Linked DNA regions of Saccharomyces cerevisiae S288C. Changing the gene in region 1 together with any one later gene gives a genetic interaction. Each region holds a gene or a part of one and is shown in the gene's direction. Other genes may lie near its edges.

Evidence for each region.
Region 2: mutations in TRF5 (region 1) and AIR1 together harm fitness more than expected from each alone (negative genetic interaction), as found in Saccharomyces cerevisiae (3 studies listed by BioGRID).
Region 3: mutations in TRF5 (region 1) and PUF4 together harm fitness more than expected from each alone (negative genetic interaction), as found in Saccharomyces cerevisiae (3 studies listed by BioGRID).
Region 4: mutations in TRF5 (region 1) and BMT5 together harm fitness more than expected from each alone (negative genetic interaction), as found in Saccharomyces cerevisiae (2 studies listed by BioGRID).

What each region holds. Positions count from the first base shown.
Region 1 is NC_001146.8:63,155-68,945, forward strand, and holds TRF5 (non-canonical poly(A) polymerase TRF5), read left to right. Parts: upstream 1-3,362; coding exon 3,363-5,291; downstream 5,292-5,791. Other genes in the region: 60S ribosomal protein eL18 RPL18B, read right to left, coding at 416-864, 1,297-1,408; TOS6 (Tos6p), read left to right, coding at 2,590-2,898; serine/threonine protein kinase CLA4, read left to right, coding at 5,761-5,791. UniProt on the Saccharomyces cerevisiae protein: Catalytic subunit of the TRAMP5 complex which has a poly(A) RNA polymerase activity and is involved in a post-transcriptional quality control mechanism limiting inappropriate expression of genetic information.
Region 2 is NC_001141.2:209,222-213,981, reverse strand, and holds AIR1 (TRAMP complex RNA-binding subunit), read left to right. Parts: upstream 1-1,976; coding exon 1,977-3,059; downstream 3,060-4,760. Other genes in the region: threonine--tRNA ligase THS1, read right to left, coding at 1-1,483. UniProt on the Saccharomyces cerevisiae protein: Component of the TRAMP (TRF4) and TRAMP5 complexes which have a poly(A) RNA polymerase activity and are involved in a post-transcriptional quality control mechanism limiting inappropriate expression of genetic information.
Region 3 is NC_001139.9:463,430-470,210, forward strand, and holds PUF4 (Puf4p), read left to right. Parts: upstream 1-2,711; coding exon 2,712-5,378; downstream 5,379-6,781. Other genes in the region: KAP122 (Kap122p), read left to right, coding at 1-1,482; BIL2 (Bil2p), read right to left, coding at 1,614-2,006; drug-responsive transcription factor PDR1, read right to left, coding at 5,663-6,781. UniProt on the Saccharomyces cerevisiae protein: Is not essential for haploid growth, but may affect diploid formation.
Region 4 is NC_001141.2:179,951-184,679, reverse strand, and holds BMT5 (25S rRNA (uracil2634-N3)-methyltransferase), read left to right. Parts: upstream 1-1,552; coding exon 1,553-2,563; downstream 2,564-4,729. Other genes in the region: serine/threonine protein kinase PRK1, read right to left, coding at 1-743; glucose-induced degradation complex subunit FYV10, read right to left, coding at 2,703-4,253; FMC1 (Fmc1p), read left to right, coding at 4,441-4,729. UniProt on the Saccharomyces cerevisiae protein: S-adenosyl-L-methionine-dependent methyltransferase that specifically methylates the N(3) position of uridine 2634 (m3U2634) in 25S rRNA.

The sequences.
Region 1 (5,791 bases):
ACCAGGGCTTGTCACTAGAGCTCCGTCCTGCTGGGCTCAAACGCGCCTAATTTATTCAGGGAGAACGGACGGACGTAGACGCGATTTTTTTGTCAAAGCACAAAAAGCTGACATCAGGAAGAAAATCAATAGTGCACCAAAGGTATATGGTGTGGGTTGCTAAAATGTTCGGATGTAAAGTAGTATTGAAAAAAAATGGGAAAAGTGTGTGAATGATAGTTTGTAGGTTTATGCATAGGGCGGAATAGCTGACTTGATACTGAACTGATAGGTTTAGATTATGAAGTTATTATACATGTATATATTGTAGTCAGTCATATGGTATGGAAAAATCCCTCTTTCCCAACCTAATATACACTGAAACAAGGAAAAAGGAACAAAGAAGAAAAATTGTAAGGTTTCAAACCATACTAGATTACACCTTGAAACCCTTAGATCTTCTTCTACCTCTAGCTCTTTCGAACTTTCTACCGGTGGACAAGATTCTTGGAGCCTTACCCTTGTGTGGACCCATACCGAAGTGTCTGACCGCTTCTCTGGAGTTTCTTGGACCTCTCAAGATCAAAGTGTTTTGACCCTTAGGAGCTCTGACAGCTAATTGATCTAAAGTGATACATTCACCGCCAGCCTTAACGATCTTGGCTCTGGCACCAGCAGTGAATCTCAAAGCAGCAACAGTGGTCTTTGGGAATTCGAAGATCCTGGCATCGTCAGTAACGGTACCAACAACGACAACAGTCTTGTTGGCAGCACCTTCTTGCTTCAAAGCTCTAGCAATTCTGGAGACTGAAACAGGTGGTCTGTTGATCTTAGACAAGAACAAAGCCTTCAAAACAACCTTGTTGAATGGAGCATCAGTACGACCTGTGATTAAGACAAGAAAAACAAAAGTTTTTACGTTATGTTAGTAAAGGGATAAAGGATTTGTTGGTATTCTCGATAGGCAGCTTTTAATTTCTTCCATTAATTGAAGCCAAAAAGAGTGCAAAACGAAAAAGTACCAATTTGTTTTTCTCTTTGAAGAAAAAAGATTCTGCTCAGTTAATAGTTGGTCCGCACTTGAAGGTCGTATTGTACTTCCTTTAGTACTCGCAGAATTTCCAGAAAACTACCGCTTTCTGTTCTAGTGGAAATCTTTAACACAAAAGAGAACAAATTCCACTTTTGTCTAAGAGATCCGTCGCACGCAACGATACTAAGACTGAAGCCATTAGAAGATCGCCGGGACTAGAAGTTAATAATATCACAGAATCCTTTTATCCTGAAGAAAATTGGGAGGGAGATTTCAATACATACGAGCTAGGAAAGTGTATAGTTTGACCAATAATTTCAAATAGACGTTATCGGATTTTGGAGCGGTTCTATGACCGGATCTTTTGTGTTGCTTGGAAGTGTGATCAATACCCATTTTGTTTTTTGTTTTCTTCTAATTGATTTTTTCTTTCTATTTCCTTTGGTGAAACAGGTAGTTTTGTTCAAAAGAAATCATTCAATGGTTTAAATAAAAGCAAGAAGTATGAAAATTTTTTTATTTTTTCTTCAGAATTTTATCATAGTTGTCGTAAAATAACGAGGTCGGGTAACGTGTTTGGTGTACTGAGGTCTTTTTTAAAAGAAGCTCCAGCAAGAAAGAGTTTTGTGTGATGGCTAATGAAGTGTCAATTGCATTTGGAAAGCAGCCTGATTTCTTGGGCGTGAATATGAAATTCTTCTTTTGTTATTTTATAATATGAAGTATGAATGAAAACATAAAGCGCGCTGAGACAACGACTGTTCAATGTAAAATAAAGAAAATCTATCGTTCTCAAGACGTGGTCCCATTTTTTTTTACTTTGAATTTCGTCAGCAGTGTGACATGGTTAGAATGTAACCCCACATTTGCAAAGAGATTGTTACAGGAGCGTTCTAATTGTCCCGTACTGGTACATTCATAAGTGAAAAGAAAGCCATATCGGGCGCGCTGGTTTGTGAGCCACAGAAACCGGACAAGGCACTTCTTGAATACTTCCCAAGGAAAGCGCCAAGGTTTACGGTTCTGATGGGAATGCAGGGGGGAATCTAGTCTTGAAGTATCCTTATTCCTTAAAAAAAATATTGGACATCCTCTTCGAAATTAACAACGACGCCAAAAACTTGTCTATGTTTTCAAAACCGCGCGTCACGAAAAAGCAGGAAGCACAAAGAAGTGACGCGAAAATGACGGTATATATAGCCATTAGCAGTCGCCAAAAGGTGAAGATCCTGACACGAAATGTAGCAGAGTCACTACATTGATACTGATCTTGTACTTCCGAATAAGGCACCGCCAGATCAATTCTGTCTGATTTTGGCGTCTTCTGGTATAGTCTTGTAATGAACGGTGGTGATTCTCGAGGAAAATAAAATTCGTGATAAATACATGCATGTGTATATATAAGGCGCTATATATGGCCTTGAAACTTTGTTATTACGCCTACTCCATCTTTATTGGTACATATATCATTTAAAAGAGTAGTCCATAGAAAACCAACTGCATTCCTTCCTTATCCCTGCCTTCGGCTAATTTTAAACCAACTTTTTACCTTCCTTTAATATCAATATCAAAATACAATGAAATTCTCTACTCTCTCCACCGTTGCTGCCATTGCCGCATTTGCTTCCGCAGATTCCACCTCTGATGGTGTCACTTACGTAGATGTTACCACCACCCCACAAAGTACTACATCTATGGTCTCCACCGTGAAAACTACTTCCACTCCATACACTACAAGTACCATTGCCACTCTATCCACTAAATCTATCAGTAGCCAAGCTAACACCACCACCCATGAGATCAGCACATACGTCGGCGCTGCCGTTAAAGGCTCCGTTGCGGGTATGGGTGCCATCATGGGTGCTGCTGCCTTTGCTTTGTTATAAGTTGCATGGACAACTTAAACTAGGAAGGATATTCCGCTTCATTTCATTAATTTCACATTTTTTTATCTACATGATATGTATTTTCCCTCAGTTACCAGATTCGCTAGCTTCGAAGCAAGGACTCCTTGGTCATACTTAATAAAGGAACGTCTGCTTCATTCTCCTAAAGTTCCTTTCGATAAGGACGCAGAAGGCACCTTACTAGACCATTGTATAAACTCATAACTACATACTAATTCAACGATATGTTACATTTATTTTCTTGTGGTTACCCCCCGCAAATTTCCAGGCATCTCATCTCATCGCAGTTAAAAAAAAAAAAGTTGTAAAAAGGTAATAAAGCGATACTTGATGAAAGCAAACATCTGTAATAACAGTTCACAAGGTTAAGCTGGTTCGTTTCACTAGCGTATCATTTTTTATTTTTCAAATAAACAAACGAGGGCGGAGTTTATTGGGTCGTCATGACAAGGCTCAAAGCAAAATATTCACCTACAAAAGGTAAAAGAAAAGAAGATAAACATACAAAACGTATGCGTAAATCATCCTTCACAAGAACGCAAAAAATGCTTGAAGTATTTAACGATAATCGCTCGCATTTTAACAAGTACGAGAGCCTCGCTATCGACGTTGAAGACGATGACACTTTCGGAAACCTAGTCTTAATGGAAAATGATAAAAGTGATGTCGACATACCTGTAATAGAAGAAGTCACATCAAGTGAAGATGAACAAAGGGCAGAATCTAGCAAAAGAAACAATTCTCTCGAAGATAATCAAGATTTTATTGCTTTTTCGGACAGCTCTGAAGATGAAACAGAACAAATAAAGGAAGATGATGATGAAAGAAGCAGTTTTCTGTTGACCGATGAACATGAAGTTTCTAAGCTTACTTCACAGCAATCTCTGAACACTGAAAGCGCTTGCAATGTGGAGTATCCTTGGATAAGAAATCATTGTCATTCGAAACAAAGGAGAATAGCAGATTGGCTAACTTCAGAAATCAAAGATTTCGTTCATTATATCTCTCCAAGCAAGAACGAAATCAAGTGCAGAAATAGAACGATCGATAAACTACGCCGGGCGGTCAAGGAACTGTGGTCGGATGCAGATTTGCATGTGTTTGGTTCTTTTGCCACCGATTTATATTTGCCGGGTTCTGACATTGACTGTGTCGTAAACAGCCGGAATCGCGATAAAGAGGACAGAAATTACATTTATGAATTGGCGAGACATTTGAAAAACAAAGGGCTAGCTATAAGAATGGAGGTTATTGTTAAAACGCGAGTGCCTATTATCAAATTCATAGAGCCCCAATCACAGTTACATATCGACGTTTCATTTGAAAGAACGAACGGGTTAGAGGCTGCAAAACTCATCAGGGAATGGCTAAGAGACTCTCCAGGGTTACGTGAACTGGTACTGATAATAAAACAATTTTTGCATTCAAGACGATTGAACAATGTGCACACAGGAGGATTGGGAGGTTTCACAGTAATCTGTTTGGTTTATTCTTTTTTAAATATGCATCCGCGAATAAAATCAAACGATATCGACGTTCTAGATAACCTGGGTGTTCTACTGATTGACTTCTTCGAACTTTACGGAAAAAATTTTGGTTATGATGACGTTGCTATAAGCATATCTGATGGTTACGCCTCTTATATTCCTAAATCGTGTTGGAGAACTTTGGAACCTTCAAGGAGTAAATTCTCGCTAGCTATTCAAGATCCTGGTGATCCTAACAATAATATAAGCAGAGGCTCCTTTAATATGAAGGATATAAAAAAGGCCTTTGCTGGTGCCTTCGAACTGTTGGTCAATAAATGCTGGGAATTGAATTCTGCTACATTCAAAGACCGCGTTGGAAAAAGTATACTCGGAAACGTGATCAAATACCGTGGGCAAAAGAGAGATTTCAACGACGAAAGAGATTTAGTGCAGAATAAAGCCATCATTGAAAACGAGCGCTACCACAAGAGGCGCACGAGGATAGTTCAAGAAGATTTATTTATAAACGACACCGAAGACTTGCCAGTAGAGGAGATCTACAAACTTGACGAACCTGCAAAGAAGAAACAGAAGGCAAAAAAGGATAAGAGAGAAGGGGAAATCAAAAAGAGTGCCATTCCATCTCCACCTCCGGATTTTGGAGTGAGCAGAAGCAAATTGAAACGCAAAGTGAAAAAAACTGATCAGGGCTCTCTCCTACACCAAAACAACCTCAGCATAGATGACTTGATGGGACTTTCTGAGAATGATCAAGAATCCGATCAAGATCAAAAAGGAAGAGATACCCCTTCGGGACAAGATGAGAAATCACCACTGGAAACTAAGACAGTAGATGCTCAAACGAGAAGGGACTACTGGCTCTCTAAAGGCCAGGCTCTTTAACACAATATAGACTCTTATAGACTATTTACTATTTATACAAGAATACCACATCGATGTCCAAGTGAAACAATAAGCTAATGATATCAAACGCGTGGGTATTTTCCCTTTCCGGAAATATAGAGCCACCAAAAAAGGATAGTTTCCCGATATGGAAATTTTCTCGAGCCGGTAAGATGACGAAATTTTTCATCTCTGGCATGATAGAAACATAGTATGGAACGTGCAGGAGAGTCTGATTCGAGACACATAATTTGAAAGAACCTTCTAGCCTGAGCCTTGTACATGTATTAGCGTTGCCAGTTATTTGCTTCTGCTGCTAATAAGATCAAAACCTTAAGTCCTTTATTTCGATCGAACGTACTGCGCTACTGAAAACCATTGCATCTTTTGCTATCATTCATTCCTGGTGGTTTCTTTGGTGTAATAAATCGAACAGTGAAACTGAAACATAAAAGAAATAGTGCAAAATATGTCTCTTTCAGCTGCAGCGAATAAGATAT
Region 2 (4,760 bases), on another chromosome or scaffold:
CGTAAATGTATTGCAAAAAGTTGAAAATATTTTCAATTTCAGACTCAATTTGGTCATGGGTACAGAAGATATGAGCATCATCTTGTTGGAATCTTCTGACACGAGTCAAACCAGACAAGGCACCAGAAAATTCATTTCTGTGGATAACACCGAAGTCTGCAACTCTCCATGGCAATTCTCTATAAGAACGTTCTCTAGACTTGAACATCAAACAATGACCTGGACAGTTCATTGGTTTTAGACCGAAAGTTTCCTTCTCTACTTCGAAAGTAAACATGTTTTCCTTGTAATTGGCCCAGTGACCTGAGGTTTCCCACAATTTGGAGTTGTACATGTTTGGAGTGATGACTTCTTCGTAACCTCTCTTACGGTATTCGGTTCTCAACAAGTCAACCAAAGTGTTGTAAATTCTAGTACCATGAGGTAACCAAAAGCAAGAACCTGGGGACATTTCATTGAATAAGAATAATTCTTGTTCTTTACCAATCTTTCTGTGATCTCTCATAGAGGCTTCCGCCAAGAACTTCAAATGAGCATCCATTAATTTTTTGTCTGGAAAAGAGATACCGTAAACTCTTTGTAAAGAGTCGTTTGTCGCATCACCTAAGAAATAACAAGAAGAGTTCTTTAATAGTTTGAAAGCTTTGATACGCCCAGTATGTGGGATATGAGGGCCGACACATAGATCAATCAATTTACCGCAACGGTAGACGGTAGTAGCACCTCCATCTGGAACCTTTGTCTGTACCAAGTAAGTCTTATACTTCGAATAATGAAACATTTTCAAAAGATCTTCTTTGGACATGACCAATCTTTCAAATTTTTGCTTTTGCTTGATAACATTCTTGGCAACGCCTTCCAATCCTGGGAAATCAGCTTGGGAGACGGTTCTTTCTGGAGATTCAGATATATCTTTCATACTATCTCTAACAGCCATTTCATAAAAGAACCCATCATCAGTTGGAGGACCTAAACAAATATGGGCACCTAGGTGGCACTCACAAGATTCACCCAAGACGTGGGCAGACGAATGCCAAAAGACCTTCTTACCTTCGTCAGATTCGAAATCTAGCAGTTCTAATTTGATTTCTTCGTTGGCTTCGCCTTCAAATGGTCTATCTAAGTCCCATAATTGACCATTAACCTTAGAAATACATAACCTGTCTGCTAAAGATTTAGAAATTCCTTTGGCAATATCCATCGGAGTGGTTTCCCAAGAAGTGGCTTCCTTAACGGCTCCATCCTTCAAGACAATCTTCAATGGAACACGTGGCATAGAAGCAACTTTATCATTGTATTCCTTTTGTAATCTGTCAAACATTTCAATTCTTTCCTCGATGAAAGTTGGTTCAGGATCCAAGTACAAGGACTGTTGCTTGGATTTTTTGTTTTCTTTCTTATTTGGTTTTACGGCATCATTACTACTATCCTTGACAGACAGCTTTTTGACTTGCTCAGTGACACCTGCTTCACTAGCACTCATCTCCGTTTTATTTTCTTGCTCTGTTAGCTGTTAATTTTTCGTTAACCTGTAATCTTTCAGATGACACATCATTTAATGCACGATTTATCTAACTTTCTTTTGTTGCCATCGCAAGTATTTTTTTCAAGTGAAAATTCCTCGAAAAAAATTTTTTAGCAAGATAGCCGTATATGATGATTTATACATATCACAAGGTAAGAGTCATTTAAACAGTAAAAAGAAAGCGTTTGCGTCAGCATATACAATGGCACATCTGTAAATTCATTTATATATTATATGAAAATGTGACTTCAATATTTCTAAAGTGACTTCCATAGGCGCTTGTCCTTTGTCTTTGTTTCTTGCTACTGTTAAAGCTCATTGACAGGCTTTTCAATTTCTTGGTCCATGAAAAAATGAAAAATTACTAAAAATTAGCGATGCGATGAGTGGGAAAGGTCCAACATTCTCACATGAGGAATACAAAGGAAGCGGACCACGGAGCTAAGATATTATGTCGACATTGTTATCTGAGGTAGAAAGTATCGATACTTTGCCGTATGTGAAGGATACAACACCGACAGGAAGTGACTCGTCATCATTTAATAAATTATTGGCTCCTTCCATAGAGGATGTAGATGCTAACCCAGAGGAACTGAGGACTTTACGTGGCCAAGGACGGTATTTTGGAATAACAGATTATGACTCAAACGGTGCGATAATGGAGGCAGAGCCAAAGTGTAATAATTGTTCGCAAAGAGGTCATTTGAAAAGGAATTGTCCCCATGTGATATGTACTTACTGCGGGTTTATGGATGATCATTACTCACAACACTGCCCTAAGGCTATTATTTGCACTAATTGTAATGCAAACGGCCATTATAAATCACAGTGTCCTCATAAATGGAAGAAGGTGTTCTGCACGCTTTGCAATAGCAAAAGACACTCAAGAGAAAGATGTCCTAGTATTTGGAGATCTTATTTATTAAAAACAAAAGATGCTAACCAAGGTGACTTCGATTTTCAAACAGTTTTCTGTTATAACTGTGGGAATGCCGGTCATTTTGGCGATGACTGTGCTGAAAGAAGGTCATCGAGAGTGCCGAACACTGATGGAAGTGCATTTTGCGGTGATAACTTAGCCACAAAATTTAAACAACACTATTTTAACCAATTGAAAGACTATAAACGTGAAGCTTCACAAAGGCAACACTTTGATAACGAACATGAATTCAACCTGCTTGACTATGAATATAACGACGATGCATACGACCTCCCTGGCTCAAGGACTTATAGAGATAAAATGAAATGGAAGGGCAAAGTGCAGTCAACAAGGAACAAAAATAGTAGCAATAATAGATATGAAAGCAGTAATAACAGGAAGAAGAAGTCACCATTTAGCGCACAGAACTACAAAGTGACGAAAAATAAAAGAGTTCAGACACACCCCTTAGATTTCCCCAGAAGTAGCCAAAACAACAGAACGAACGATTATTCGAGCCAGTTCAGCTATAATAGGGACGACTTCCCCAAGGGTCCTAAGAATAAGAGGGGCCGATCATCTTCTAACAAAAGCCAAAGAAATGGCCGTTATTGAGATTATATGTGAGTTTTTTTAATTTTTTTTCCATTCTCATTGCAGCAAACATATATATGTTTATTTTATAGGGATTTTTTGTATCGATAGAGCAGTACAAAGCAAAAAAAAAGTACATTGTTGGAGTCTCGTATTTCTTACTTACTGTCTTAGCAGTAGTAGAAGAGATTTGTACAAAAAAATATGGTCTCTAGCGGGATCGAACCGCTGATCCCCGCGTTATTAGCACGGTGCCTTAACCAACTGGGCCAAGAGACCAGATATTTCATATGTTCTGTTGTATTACGGGCTCGAGTAATACCGGAGTGTCTTGACAATCCTAATATAAACAGTCTTAGGGAAGTAACCAGTTGTCAAAACAGTTTATCAGATTAATTCACGGAATGTTACTTATCTTATATATTATATAAAATATGAATCATACTAAGTGGTGGAAGCGCGGAATCTCGGATCTAAACTAATTGTTCAGGCATTTATACTTTGGGTAGTTCAGCTAGGGAAGGTCGGGTTTTGTCTCATGTTGTTCGTTTTGTTATAAGGTTGTTTCATATGTGTTTTATGAACGTTCAGGGTGACGTATTGTCATACTGACATATCTCATTTTGAGATACAACATCTTCCTCTCTCTCAGGGTTGTCTTGTGTTTCGTAGAGTTGTCTAAAGTTGGCTAATATTGATCTTCGTGTTCTTTCGGGAATTTGGCAAAATTCAGCTTCTGAGTATTCTACTGAAAGTGTTGGGTCTACGTCTTGCATGTGACATAAGTAAGTTTTGTGTGTAGTATCTATTCCTATGAGTGCAGTAACTTCGTGTGCTCTCTTAATTCTCTCAGTGGAGCTGATTGGTTTATTCTTTGGGTACGCGTCTGGACGGTATACAAACTTTTCAGGAATTGTACATTAATAACTCTGTGCTTTTTCTTGTGAGAGTTTAAATCTAGTTCGTAGGCGTTATCGTTTATTTTCTTAACAACTCGAAATGGTCCGACGTATATTTGTTGTACTTTCATATAAGCACCTTTCTTGAAGTATGCATCTCTATGCACTAATACGTGATCTCCTATGTTTAACAATAAGGGTTTACGTCTTTGATTGTTATTAGTTTCCATTTCGATTTGAGCGTGTTCTAGCTGTTCCTTCGTTTGGATGGTAAGGGCTTTGAGGTGTTTGGCAAGTTCTACGGCAGTAAAACTTCTTGCGTTGACTTCGTCATCTGACTTAATAGCAGGGGTATTCGGTAAATATCCTAAATCAATTTCAAATGGTGATTTTCCAAGTGTTCTAGTAGGTGTAGAGTTGTAAACAAATTCGATTTGTGGTAAATATACATGCCAATTCTGAATATTGGTTGAAACATAGGCTCTTAGTAACCTGTTTAATGTCTGTATCGTTCGTTCGGATTGTCCATCTGTTTGGGGGTGGTTCGCGGAAGACATTGTCGATTTTATTCCTAGTCTTTTCGTGAGTTCTTGGTATTTGTCGGCGGTCATACGGACATCTCTATCACTGGTTATTGTCCTGGGAAAACCATGATATGAAAAAATGTATCGAAAGAGTAAATCTATTAGTTGTGTTGCGTCTAAAGTTTTCCTTGTAGCTATGAAGTGAGCGCGTTTCGAGAAACGATCAACTACGACGAGGATCATATTCAAGTTATTTGATGTTGGGGGTAATCCTGTCACAAAATCCATTGATATATCAA
Region 3 (6,781 bases), on another chromosome or scaffold:
CAAACTAGTGCCAGTACAAAAGTCAGTCAAATTTTGAAACTTGACTTCGTAAGAACAAGTACAACTTTAATCGGCACTTTGGCTGGTTATTTTAAACAGGAACCTTTTCAATTAAACCCATACGTGGAAGCTTTATTTCAAGGTTTGCACACTTGCACCAATTTTACTAGTAAAAACGAACAAGAAAAAATTTCGAACGATAAACTTGAAGTTATGGTTATCAAGACTGTTTCAACATTATGTGAGACATGCCGTGAGGAGTTGACTCCATATTTGATGCATTTTATAAGCTTTTTAAACACAGTCATTATGCCAGACTCCAATGTTTCACATTTCACTAGAACTAAATTGGTTAGATCTATAGGTTATGTCGTTCAATGTCAAGTCTCCAACGGTCCAGAGGAGCAAGCTAAATATATTTTACAATTGACGAACCTATTGAGCGGCTCAATAGAGCATTGTTTGGCTTCATCGGTACAGTTACAAGAACAACAAGATTATATTAATTGTCTATTATACTGTATATCTGAGCTAGCAACAAGTTTGATCCAACCTACTGAAATCATCGAAAATGATGCATTACTACAAAGGTTATCTGAGTTTCAAAGTTTCTGGTCCAGCGATCCCTTACAAATCCGATCGAAAATTATGTGCACCATTGATAAGGTCTTGGATAATTCAATATATTGTAAAAACTCCGCCTTTGTGGAGATCGGTTGTTTGATTGTTGGTAAAGGATTAAATCTGCCCGACGGGGAACCGTACTTCCTCAAGTACAATATGTCTGAAGTTATGAATTTTGTTTTGCGGCATGTCCCCAACTGTGAGCTTGCTACTTGCTTGCCTTATTTTGTTTATTTATTAGAAAAGCTTATTTCAGAGTTCAGGAAGGAACTAACACCACAAGAATTTGATTTCATGTTTGAAAAGATCCTTCTAGTCTATTATGATGCATATATTATCAATGATCCGGACCTTTTACAAATGACAATAGGTTTTGTTAATAACGTTTTGGACGTGAAGCCAGGCTTAGCTATTGGCAGTAAACATTGGACATCATTTATTTTACCTCAATTTTTAAAATTAATACCTTCAAGAGAAAAGTTCACAATTGTTGCGGTGGCAAAATTTTGGACTAAGTTGATCAATAATAAGAAATACAACCAAGAAGAACTCACAACTGTTAGGCAACAAGTTTCCTCTATAGGAGGAGACCTTGTGTACCAAATTATGTATGGCTTATTCCACACACAAAGGTCCGATCTGAATAGTTACACAGATCTGCTAAGAGCTTTGGTAGCCAAGTTTCCAATTGAAGCAAGAGAGTGGCTCGTTGCTGTTTTGCCCCAAATATGTAACAATCCTGCAGGTCATGAAAAATTTATTAATAAATTACTTATTACGAGAGGAAGCAGAGCAGCTGGAAATGTTATTTTGCAGTGGTGGTTGGATTGTACCACACTTCCAAATTACCAAGGATGATTTGTTAAGAATTTCTCCGCTGAGGGTGAAGGCTATTCTTTGTTACATTTTATTTAGTAATGCGTTGATCCTTTTTGATAGATTTTTTTTTTGTGCTTTAAAGATAGTAGCAGTATATATGTGTGTAAAAGCTAATCATCAGAAGTGCAGCATTCATTGCTAGTATTTAGTGATAAAAATTTTAGAATTTCCATTTCTAATTGTAATTGCTTTTCATTCCAATACATGTTTGAGCTTCTGGGGGGTAAAAATACATTTCCAGACAGGGCGTCAGGTTGAAAGCAGTTACTGAAACATAGAGAGTCGACGTCAGGAGGAGGCTTCAAATGGTTTTCTGAAAGTGATTCGGTCTTATTTTTCCATTTTCTAAAATGGTGAATCCTTTCTCTGGAAATGTGTGATCCCTTTGCCTTTTGTGAAAACTTTTTTAACGAGCTTTTTAGGTTATTAGTTGTCTCAAGAAGGTTTATGGGCCCGCTGGTCTCGATATCTGCGTAATTTAATGGACGTATCGTGTCTTCCATGGAGTGAATTGTGATTTGTGAATTATATCTGTCCAATACCGTTGCCTTGTTGGGAGCTCAGATAGAAAAGACATCTTAATTCCAGACAGTCTATTCTCTGTCTATTTCTCTTTGTGACTGCAAATTTTAATTTGTGACGCCTTTTCTTATTACTCATGTATTTGTCACTCTTGACGATTGTTTTTTTTCTATATTTTTTTTGTTCTGGGGTCCTCCAGAGAATAAAAAATAATGATCAATATAGTAGATAGTATAGTTATATTCTTATTCGTTGCACCTTGTTTAACAAATCACTCAGACTCAAAGAGAATATCGGTTGGTTATCTCTCTCCGAAGGTGAACAGCAAACAGTACCTCACGTCTTTTTTTTGAATAGTTTTTTTTTTTGTTGAAACAGAAAAAAAACTTTCTTCCGTATATTACATTGTACATTATTTTTATTGTATTTTAGTTTCCAACGTTAGGATTTGAGCCGTCATTAATATTATTCGTTTTTGTACACTATTCCAGACGATTTATTTTTAGTACACTTAAAATTCCTGTTGATATTGTCCACTAGTTCTCTTTTCATATTTTATTTTCGCTTATTCTTTAGGTTCTTTTAAGAGTCTCTGTTCATTTTCCGTTCTTACTGTTTCTTTGTCCTCGATATCTTTTAAGAAAGAGAGAACTAAGCGCTGTAACATTTTTAAGTGGACCTACGTTATGTCTACAAAAGGTTTGAAAGAAGAAATCGATGATGTACCATCAGTAGACCCTGTCGTTTCAGAAACAGTCAATTCTGCTTTAGAGCAGTTGCAACTAGATGATCCAGAGGAAAACGCCACCTCTAATGCATTTGCGAATAAAGTTTCTCAAGATTCTCAATTCGCTAATGGCCCTCCGTCGCAAATGTTTCCACATCCACAAATGATGGGTGGAATGGGCTTCATGCCCTACTCTCAAATGATGCAGGTTCCTCATAATCCTTGTCCATTTTTTCCGCCCCCTGATTTTAATGATCCAACAGCACCATTGAGTAGCTCGCCCTTGAATGCAGGCGGTCCACCAATGTTATTCAAGAATGACTCACTTCCATTTCAAATGCTGTCTTCGGGTGCTGCGGTAGCAACTCAAGGTGGACAAAATCTAAACCCATTGATAAATGACAATTCAATGAAGGTATTGCCAATCGCATCGGCTGATCCGTTATGGACTCATTCAAACGTACCAGGATCAGCATCTGTAGCCATTGAAGAAACCACCGCTACTCTACAAGAAAGCCTACCATCTAAGGGCAGGGAGTCTAATAATAAGGCTAGTTCGTTCAGAAGACAAACTTTTCATGCTTTATCACCAACTGACCTTATCAATGCGGCCAACAATGTAACCTTGTCAAAGGACTTCCAATCTGACATGCAGAATTTTTCTAAGGCTAAGAAACCGTCTGTAGGAGCTAACAATACTGCAAAAACCAGAACTCAATCCATATCTTTTGATAATACTCCCTCCTCAACGTCATTTATACCCCCAACCAATAGTGTTTCTGAGAAATTATCCGATTTCAAAATAGAAACCTCGAAGGAGGATTTGATTAATAAAACTGCACCAGCTAAAAAAGAGAGTCCTACAACTTATGGTGCAGCATATCCATATGGGGGACCTTTACTTCAACCAAATCCTATTATGCCAGGCCACCCACATAATATATCCTCCCCTATCTATGGTATTAGATCACCTTTTCCTAATTCTTATGAAATGGGCGCGCAATTTCAACCTTTCTCTCCGATTTTAAATCCTACGAGTCATTCACTAAATGCAAATTCTCCAATTCCTCTAACCCAATCGCCAATTCATCTTGCACCAGTTTTAAACCCTAGTTCAAATTCTGTTGCCTTTTCAGATATGAAGAATGATGGTGGTAAGCCCACCACCGATAACGACAAGGCGGGTCCAAATGTTAGGATGGATTTAATAAATCCTAATCTTGGGCCATCAATGCAACCTTTCCACATATTACCTCCCCAGCAAAACACCCCCCCTCCTCCCTGGCTTTATAGCACTCCACCTCCCTTCAACGCAATGGTTCCGCCTCATTTGTTGGCTCAAAATCATATGCCGTTAATGAATAGCGCCAATAATAAACATCATGGTCGTAATAACAATAGCATGTCAAGTCATAATGACAATGACAACATTGGTAATTCTAATTACAACAATAAAGACACAGGTCGTTCTAACGTTGGTAAAATGAAAAATATGAAAAACAGTTATCATGGCTACTATAATAACAATAATAATAATAATAATAATAACAATAATAATAATAACAGTAATGCTACCAACAGCAACAGCGCGGAAAAACAACGTAAAATTGAGGAGTCGTCGAGATTTGCGGACGCAGTTTTAGACCAATATATCGGAAGTATTCACTCATTGTGTAAAGACCAACATGGTTGTCGTTTTCTGCAAAAGCAGTTGGATATTCTCGGCAGTAAGGCGGCGGACGCAATTTTTGAAGAAACTAAGGATTATACGGTTGAATTGATGACTGATTCATTCGGTAATTATTTGATCCAGAAGCTATTGGAAGAGGTTACCACAGAACAAAGAATCGTACTCACAAAAATATCTTCCCCTCATTTTGTCGAAATTTCCTTAAACCCTCATGGTACTAGGGCATTACAAAAACTCATTGAATGCATCAAAACAGATGAAGAAGCACAGATTGTTGTTGATTCTTTACGCCCTTATACTGTCCAGTTGAGTAAGGATTTAAATGGTAATCATGTTATTCAAAAATGTTTGCAAAGGTTGAAGCCTGAAAACTTCCAGTTTATCTTTGACGCAATCTCTGATAGCTGTATTGATATTGCTACTCATAGACACGGGTGTTGCGTTTTGCAACGTTGTCTAGATCATGGGACTACAGAACAATGTGACAATCTGTGTGATAAGTTGCTAGCCCTTGTTGATAAATTAACTTTGGATCCATTTGGCAACTATGTGGTGCAATATATAATTACCAAAGAGGCTGAGAAGAACAAATATGATTATACGCATAAAATTGTCCACCTGTTGAAACCAAGAGCCATCGAACTTTCTATCCATAAATTTGGATCAAATGTGATTGAAAAAATCTTGAAGACAGCTATTGTTTCGGAGCCAATGATTCTGGAAATTTTAAATAATGGTGGCGAGACGGGTATTCAATCATTGTTGAATGATAGCTACGGAAATTACGTTTTACAGACAGCATTAGACATTTCTCATAAGCAAAATGACTATCTCTATAAAAGACTATCAGAGATTGTGGCGCCTTTACTGGTGGGCCCCATAAGAAATACACCTCATGGTAAAAGAATCATCGGAATGTTACATTTAGATTCATAGTTGATACATATATCCTCAGTTTAGCTTTTTTTACGTTAGCCTCATATAATATCTTTTGTACAATACTAAAATACATCATTTTTTTTTTCGTTGAGGATCAAATGAATATCCAAAGCAAAAAAAATAGGAATTTTCACTTTATGGTATACTGGTAAATAGTGTTGAAGAAATAAGAGAAGGAGATGCCCTAGAAAACAGAATGTTCTTATTTAAATAAGTAAACTCAAAAGAAAAAAAAAAGGAAGGAAGTTTTTGAGAACTTTTATCTATACAAACGTATACGTTTAACTATCTGGATAAACGTCGCTCCACAGGATACTGTAGAGGTCCTCAAGATCACCGTTATTAACAAATTCATCTAGTGTCCCCAAATTAAAACTAGTTGCAGAAAAATTGTTACTGTTGTTGTTGTTAATATTGTTAATATTGTTTTTATTGTTGTTGTTGTTGTTGTTGTTGTTATTGATTTCATTTGTGTTCATAAATGGTACTTGTACTGAAGTGGGTATTTGCTGCTGAGCATTGATTGGTTTATTAGATTGGACTTGCGTATTATTTTGCCCATTTGTTGGTTGCGCGTAATCGGGATTGATCATATCAGACACGGATAATGACCTAAATGAAGGCAATTGTGCAAACTCCGGTAGTGAGTTGTTTCTCACTGGGGAAGGTGCTGAGCGACCATTGAATGGCAATTGAGGCGATTCAATGCCATTTAGTAAGCATGAAGTGCCCGTCTTAAGACTTGGGAGATCCGGATTCAAATTTTTTCCCGAATTATGCTTCATCTGCTTATTATCTTCATTTGACATTAGTGGTTCCTGAAACTTTCTATTTTTCAACATTTGTGAGACCGTTAAATGGAATCCTGACTTCTGAACAGGTTCTAATAAAAATCGATAAGCGCAAGAGTTTGTATCCAAGACAAGTTCTATTATACCTTTTAAATCTGGCGCATTCTCATCAATATATTTGGAGATAACATCGAGGTTGGTGCTAGAGGACTCTCCGTATGCCAAAAGCATGATACGAGTGACGATTGTCAGGAAAGAAAAAGCTCTTGTATAGTCTTTAAAGCTTTGGCTGTTGAAGACATGCTCATTGGTCTCATTTTCGGAAAAAATTTTTATATCCAAAAATCTTTTGAAGACTCTAATCATATTCACAACGTCATTTACTTTAATGAATTCGGCCACTGAGAATGCTTGTGATACCAAAATAATGCAACTGATAGAATAATGGGCGAACGAACGGTATACGGAATAATCGTTGTCAAAGTCTAATAAGATTTTGTTCATATCGGTCCATGATTTGTAAATCTTGTGAAGGTATATTTTCAAGTTTTCAATTAGTATTGAGGGCCTTCTGTGCACGCATAATCTGGCGACAATATTATCAGATTC
Region 4 (4,729 bases), on another chromosome or scaffold:
CTTTTTTCAAACGGCGTAGTATAGTAACATATTTTGTAAAGAAAGACACCAAGAGCCCAAATATCAGATTTTTCGTCGATAGGTAACCCTCTGTACAGGTCAATCATTTCAGGTGATCTATACTGAGCTGTAGTATTTGTTAGGATGTCGTGTTGAACATAATTAAACTCTTGAGTATTTCTAGGTGGCCTTATCACACCGGAAACGGAACCAAAATCACAAACTTTATACAAGCCATCATGAGAAATAAGTACATTCTCAATCTTAATATCTCTATGAATCAATGGCGGCTGCAGAGCGTGCATTGCAGTTATACCTTGGACGGTTTGACTCATAATTTCTAATATTTCAGATTCTTGTAATCTATTTTGTAATCTGGTGTTCATAAAATCTATAAGACCTCCACGTTCACAAAATTCCATTAACACAAACACCTCATATGCTATACCATTTACAGACCTTGCAGCATGTGAATCTATGTAAGAAACAACATGCTTATTATTTCTAAGGAGTTTCATAGCATCCACTTCAGCTCTCAAGGTATTTAAACCCTGTTTATGGGGGACAATGACTCTTTTCAAGCATGCTATGTTAGCATTGCTATATGGGTCAGGAGGGGAAATTTCGGCAGTATATACTTGTGCGAATCCACCACTCGTAAGGTATTTGATAATCTTAGCATGATGAGATCCCACAGTTAATATTGTCCCGGGTTCATACAGACTAATCTGTGGAGTATTCATTGTTTTTGGATCAGTTCAACTAAAGATAGGAGGTTACAAATAATCTTGATCAACACTTCAATCAAAAAAGATTTTTTTCGCTGAAGATAATAAACTATCCCACAATGGAAATTCAACCTGTATTAGCGAACTAACTTATGTTCAAGTGGAGCCTGTGACCTGCCTGCTTGGTGACTTTTTTAGCGTTTCCTAAATGTACTGTTCTATATTTTTCTTTTTCCAAGACCTTCGCTCTGCATACGCCTGCCTGGTTATAATTACAGTTTTTTTTAAAAACCTTTACTAAGAATAAATAGTAACAGCTAGTGCAAACTAACGACATTGACATTTACTTGATATAAAATAATTGAGAGCGATCATATATATCGGAAATCTCTATCAGTACTAATATTAAATTTACATGAAATACTTCAACAAATTCCTGGTCTCTTGGCCCAGTTGGTTAAGGCACCGTGCTAATAACGCGGGGATCAGCGGTTCGATCCCGCTAGAGACCACTTATTTTTATGACTTCTTGGAAGTCAATTTTTTTTTCCTTCTGAATCAGTAATAACAAAAGTCGTAGTTGATCTTGTTATTGGATCATGTACATCAGTATTATTAATGATTTTAGTATTTCAAGCTGGCTCCCATATTTTTCTCCTGTAGAAAGAATGTAAATTATTCGGAAAAAAAAAAAAAAAAAGAAAAGAATTGGCGATGCGATGAGCTTAAAAGAAAACCTTCCATTACTTAAATTCATTGGAGCCTGACAACGTTTAGTAACGTTAAAATCATAGATTAACACCAATCATAACCTAAAATTATCAATGGCCAGGAAATTGAAGGGTAAGATTGGGAGTAAAGGCCTAAAAGGTGCATTATTAAGGCACAAGGCCAAAGTGAAATTAGTGAGGAATATTGAAAGTAAGCAAAAACATGAACTAAGAAAGAAAAATTCGAGCGCTAATAACAAAACCGTGAAGAGAAACCAAGAATTCCAAAAACTTAATCAAGGGAAGGTTATGCCCTTTGAGAAGGATGAAACTTTGATGCTATGTGGTGAAGGAGATTTTTCTTTTGCCAGATCCATTGTTGAACAAAACTATATTGAAAGTGACAATTTAATCATAACAAGTTACGATAATTCTGTGAATGAGCTGAAATTGAAATATCCGCATACTTTTGAGGAAAATTACCAGTACTTAAAAGATCTAAATATTCCGATATTTTTCCAGATTGACGTTACGAAGCTCGTAAAGAGCTTTAAAATTTCCAAAAATAATACTTGGTTTAAAATAATCAACAGGCTTAGCGATCATCGTTGGGGTAACAAACCTTTACAAAATATAGTTTTCAATTTTCCCCATAATGGAAAAGGTATTAAGGATCAAGAAAGAAATATTAGAGAGCATCAGGACTTAATTTTTAACTTTTTCCAAAATTCCTTACAATTATTTAATCTTATAAACACGAAAATTCAAAATGATACTCTTCGTTATACGCAAGGCTATGATCTTAATGAGGATACTCCCCAGGCTAAAAAATTGACCGCCGAAGGTTATGGTAACATCATACTGTCCCTTTTCGATGGAGAGCCCTATGATTCATGGCAAATCAAACTTTTAGCCAAAAAAAATGGACTAACTCTGAGCAGATCGAGCAAATTCCAATGGGAAAATTTTCCAGGATATCATCACCGGAGAACGAATAGCGAACAAGATACTACAAAACCTGCGAAAGAACGTGATGCTAGGTTCTACATCTTTAGTAAATATGTCTCGAATAGTTCAAAACATAACCGTAAAAGCAAAAAAGACACAGATTCTGATTCAGACTAAGTACAGAAGGAAGAATGTCGCCATGTTGATGAAAGAACTTTCATTTTCCCTAATTCTTATATAGCGTAAGTATCTGTAAAATAGTTGTGAAAGTTGGACAAATCTTTATATAAAAAAATGCATATAGCTTGAAACTATTTCAGGTTGGGTACATTTTGATAGAATCTGATTCGCAAAATATTTTCATGTCAACTGGATCCATAATTTGACCTGGATTTAAAGAAATTAAGTTTTGCTTTTTCAATGTTTTGGCCAATTTCTTCAATTTTTTACTGTCGTAAACATTTCCATTTGGTAATAGTATTGGATTTTCAAATAATTGAGACTGAATGTGATGAGCAAATGGTAATGCCTGTGTTATTGGTTTGAAAGTCTCACTGCAAACGGGACAATTTTTCCTTTTTAGTGAATGTAGCGTAAAGAGTTGTAAATCTTCAACTTCTTTCTCTGCTGTTGTGGCAGTTTCCGTCTCTTGATTTCCATTTTCATCGTCAGAAGGGTGCAGGCAATCTCTTGTCTTCAAAGACGATATACCTAGTGACAGGTATATCAATAAAGGGTCATTTTGTGATATGCCATACATGGAATAAAAGTCGCTCAAGAATAAATCATTTAATACCGACCATCTTTGATCATCTAATAAATTCAGATATCTTTCGAAATCTCCACTTTGTAAATTTATTAAGGAACTCTTGTCATAGTCTGTTGTATTCACCGCAGGTTTGGAGGTAATTCTAGGTAAAGATTTGTGAAAAAAATGTTGAAATATTCGATCTTTCTTCATTGGTAAACTTTGAGACTTAATCTCTTCAGTATCGAATCCAGAGCTGGTAGAAGAAGTTGGCTTTTGATCATTACAGTATTTGATAAAAATCAGAAGTCCAGATGCTAATTTTAAATCGGTGAAGTTGCTCTTAACGAATGGTAAAAGGAATCTTTGAAAACATACTATAGCGTCGGTATAGTTATCCACCTTTAGTAGTTCAATATATTCTTGCAATCTTGCTTGAAACTCTAATATAGAGGACTTTTTGGTCAGTGTCTTTTTGTTCTCGTTTATCCATGAAATTAGGGGTAAGAGATTACGCTCATGTAGTAACGAAGTCGAAATTCTATTAGCCTCCAAGAGGACATCATAATCAATGAGATCATCCAGTTGGCTCTGTTTCAAAAACACTACGCCAGAGTTCCAATGATCCTTTGTCTCCGAGTTGTATTTAATCGGGTTATTCCTCGTCAGATAATCACCAATTAAAATGTTTGTATAACTCTGATACCACTGTATCAATTTAGTCCTGGTACCCTCATTATTTCCATTGTGCGATGTTCCTGAATTTTGTGACTTGATGTCCTTCAGTTCGTGGAAAAACTCCAGCCTTTTTTTAATTCTGTTCAAAATCTGACAGTAGGACTTGATTTGCGTATTTAAAAATCTTTCTATATGGTCAACTTTCCTAATCATTTCAGTTATTTTTGCTAGTGCCAACTCGTCGTGCTCAACGTCATTATGTTCAAATATTTGATTTAATGCGGCCGTGTGTTCATGTAGTGATTTGGTTTCCTTATTAATTACCGCTTGAGTATGCTTGATACGTTTGGACAGTAGTTCATAAGGAATATGAAATAATTGTTGATTTAATTTCAAATGGAAATCCACATCAGGCTCATTAAATATTGATTTCTCTGCCATGGCTTACCTACTTTCCTATAATTTATAATCATTTTCTCTGTTTTATGTATGAAATTGTAGATTTAACCACCCCCTTCTCTTCGCCTTTGCAAAAAGTGAATATCTCAAATTGCACTAGAGTTTCATTTGCAGCGATAAGTGGATAACAAAAAGCTGAAAAGAGAGAGAAAGAGAGAGTGCCAGGGAAATGGATAGACCAAGAACATTACGCACATATAGAGGACTCATAAGAGCCATTCTGAAATATGAAAGGCCAAGCAAGATAGTCAATTGGGGCAATCTACGAAAGGCAATGATAACAAAGTTGGAATATGCTAAGAAACAAAATCAGAGAGACTCGCATGAGAACATCAACAGACAGTTAGAGAAATGGAAAAAACTAGATCCGGTAAGCGACAGATCTTTGAATTTGTTTATAGCCGACTCTAAGTCATTACGTTCCATATTACAAAACGATATAAAGTGGGAGAAAAAGG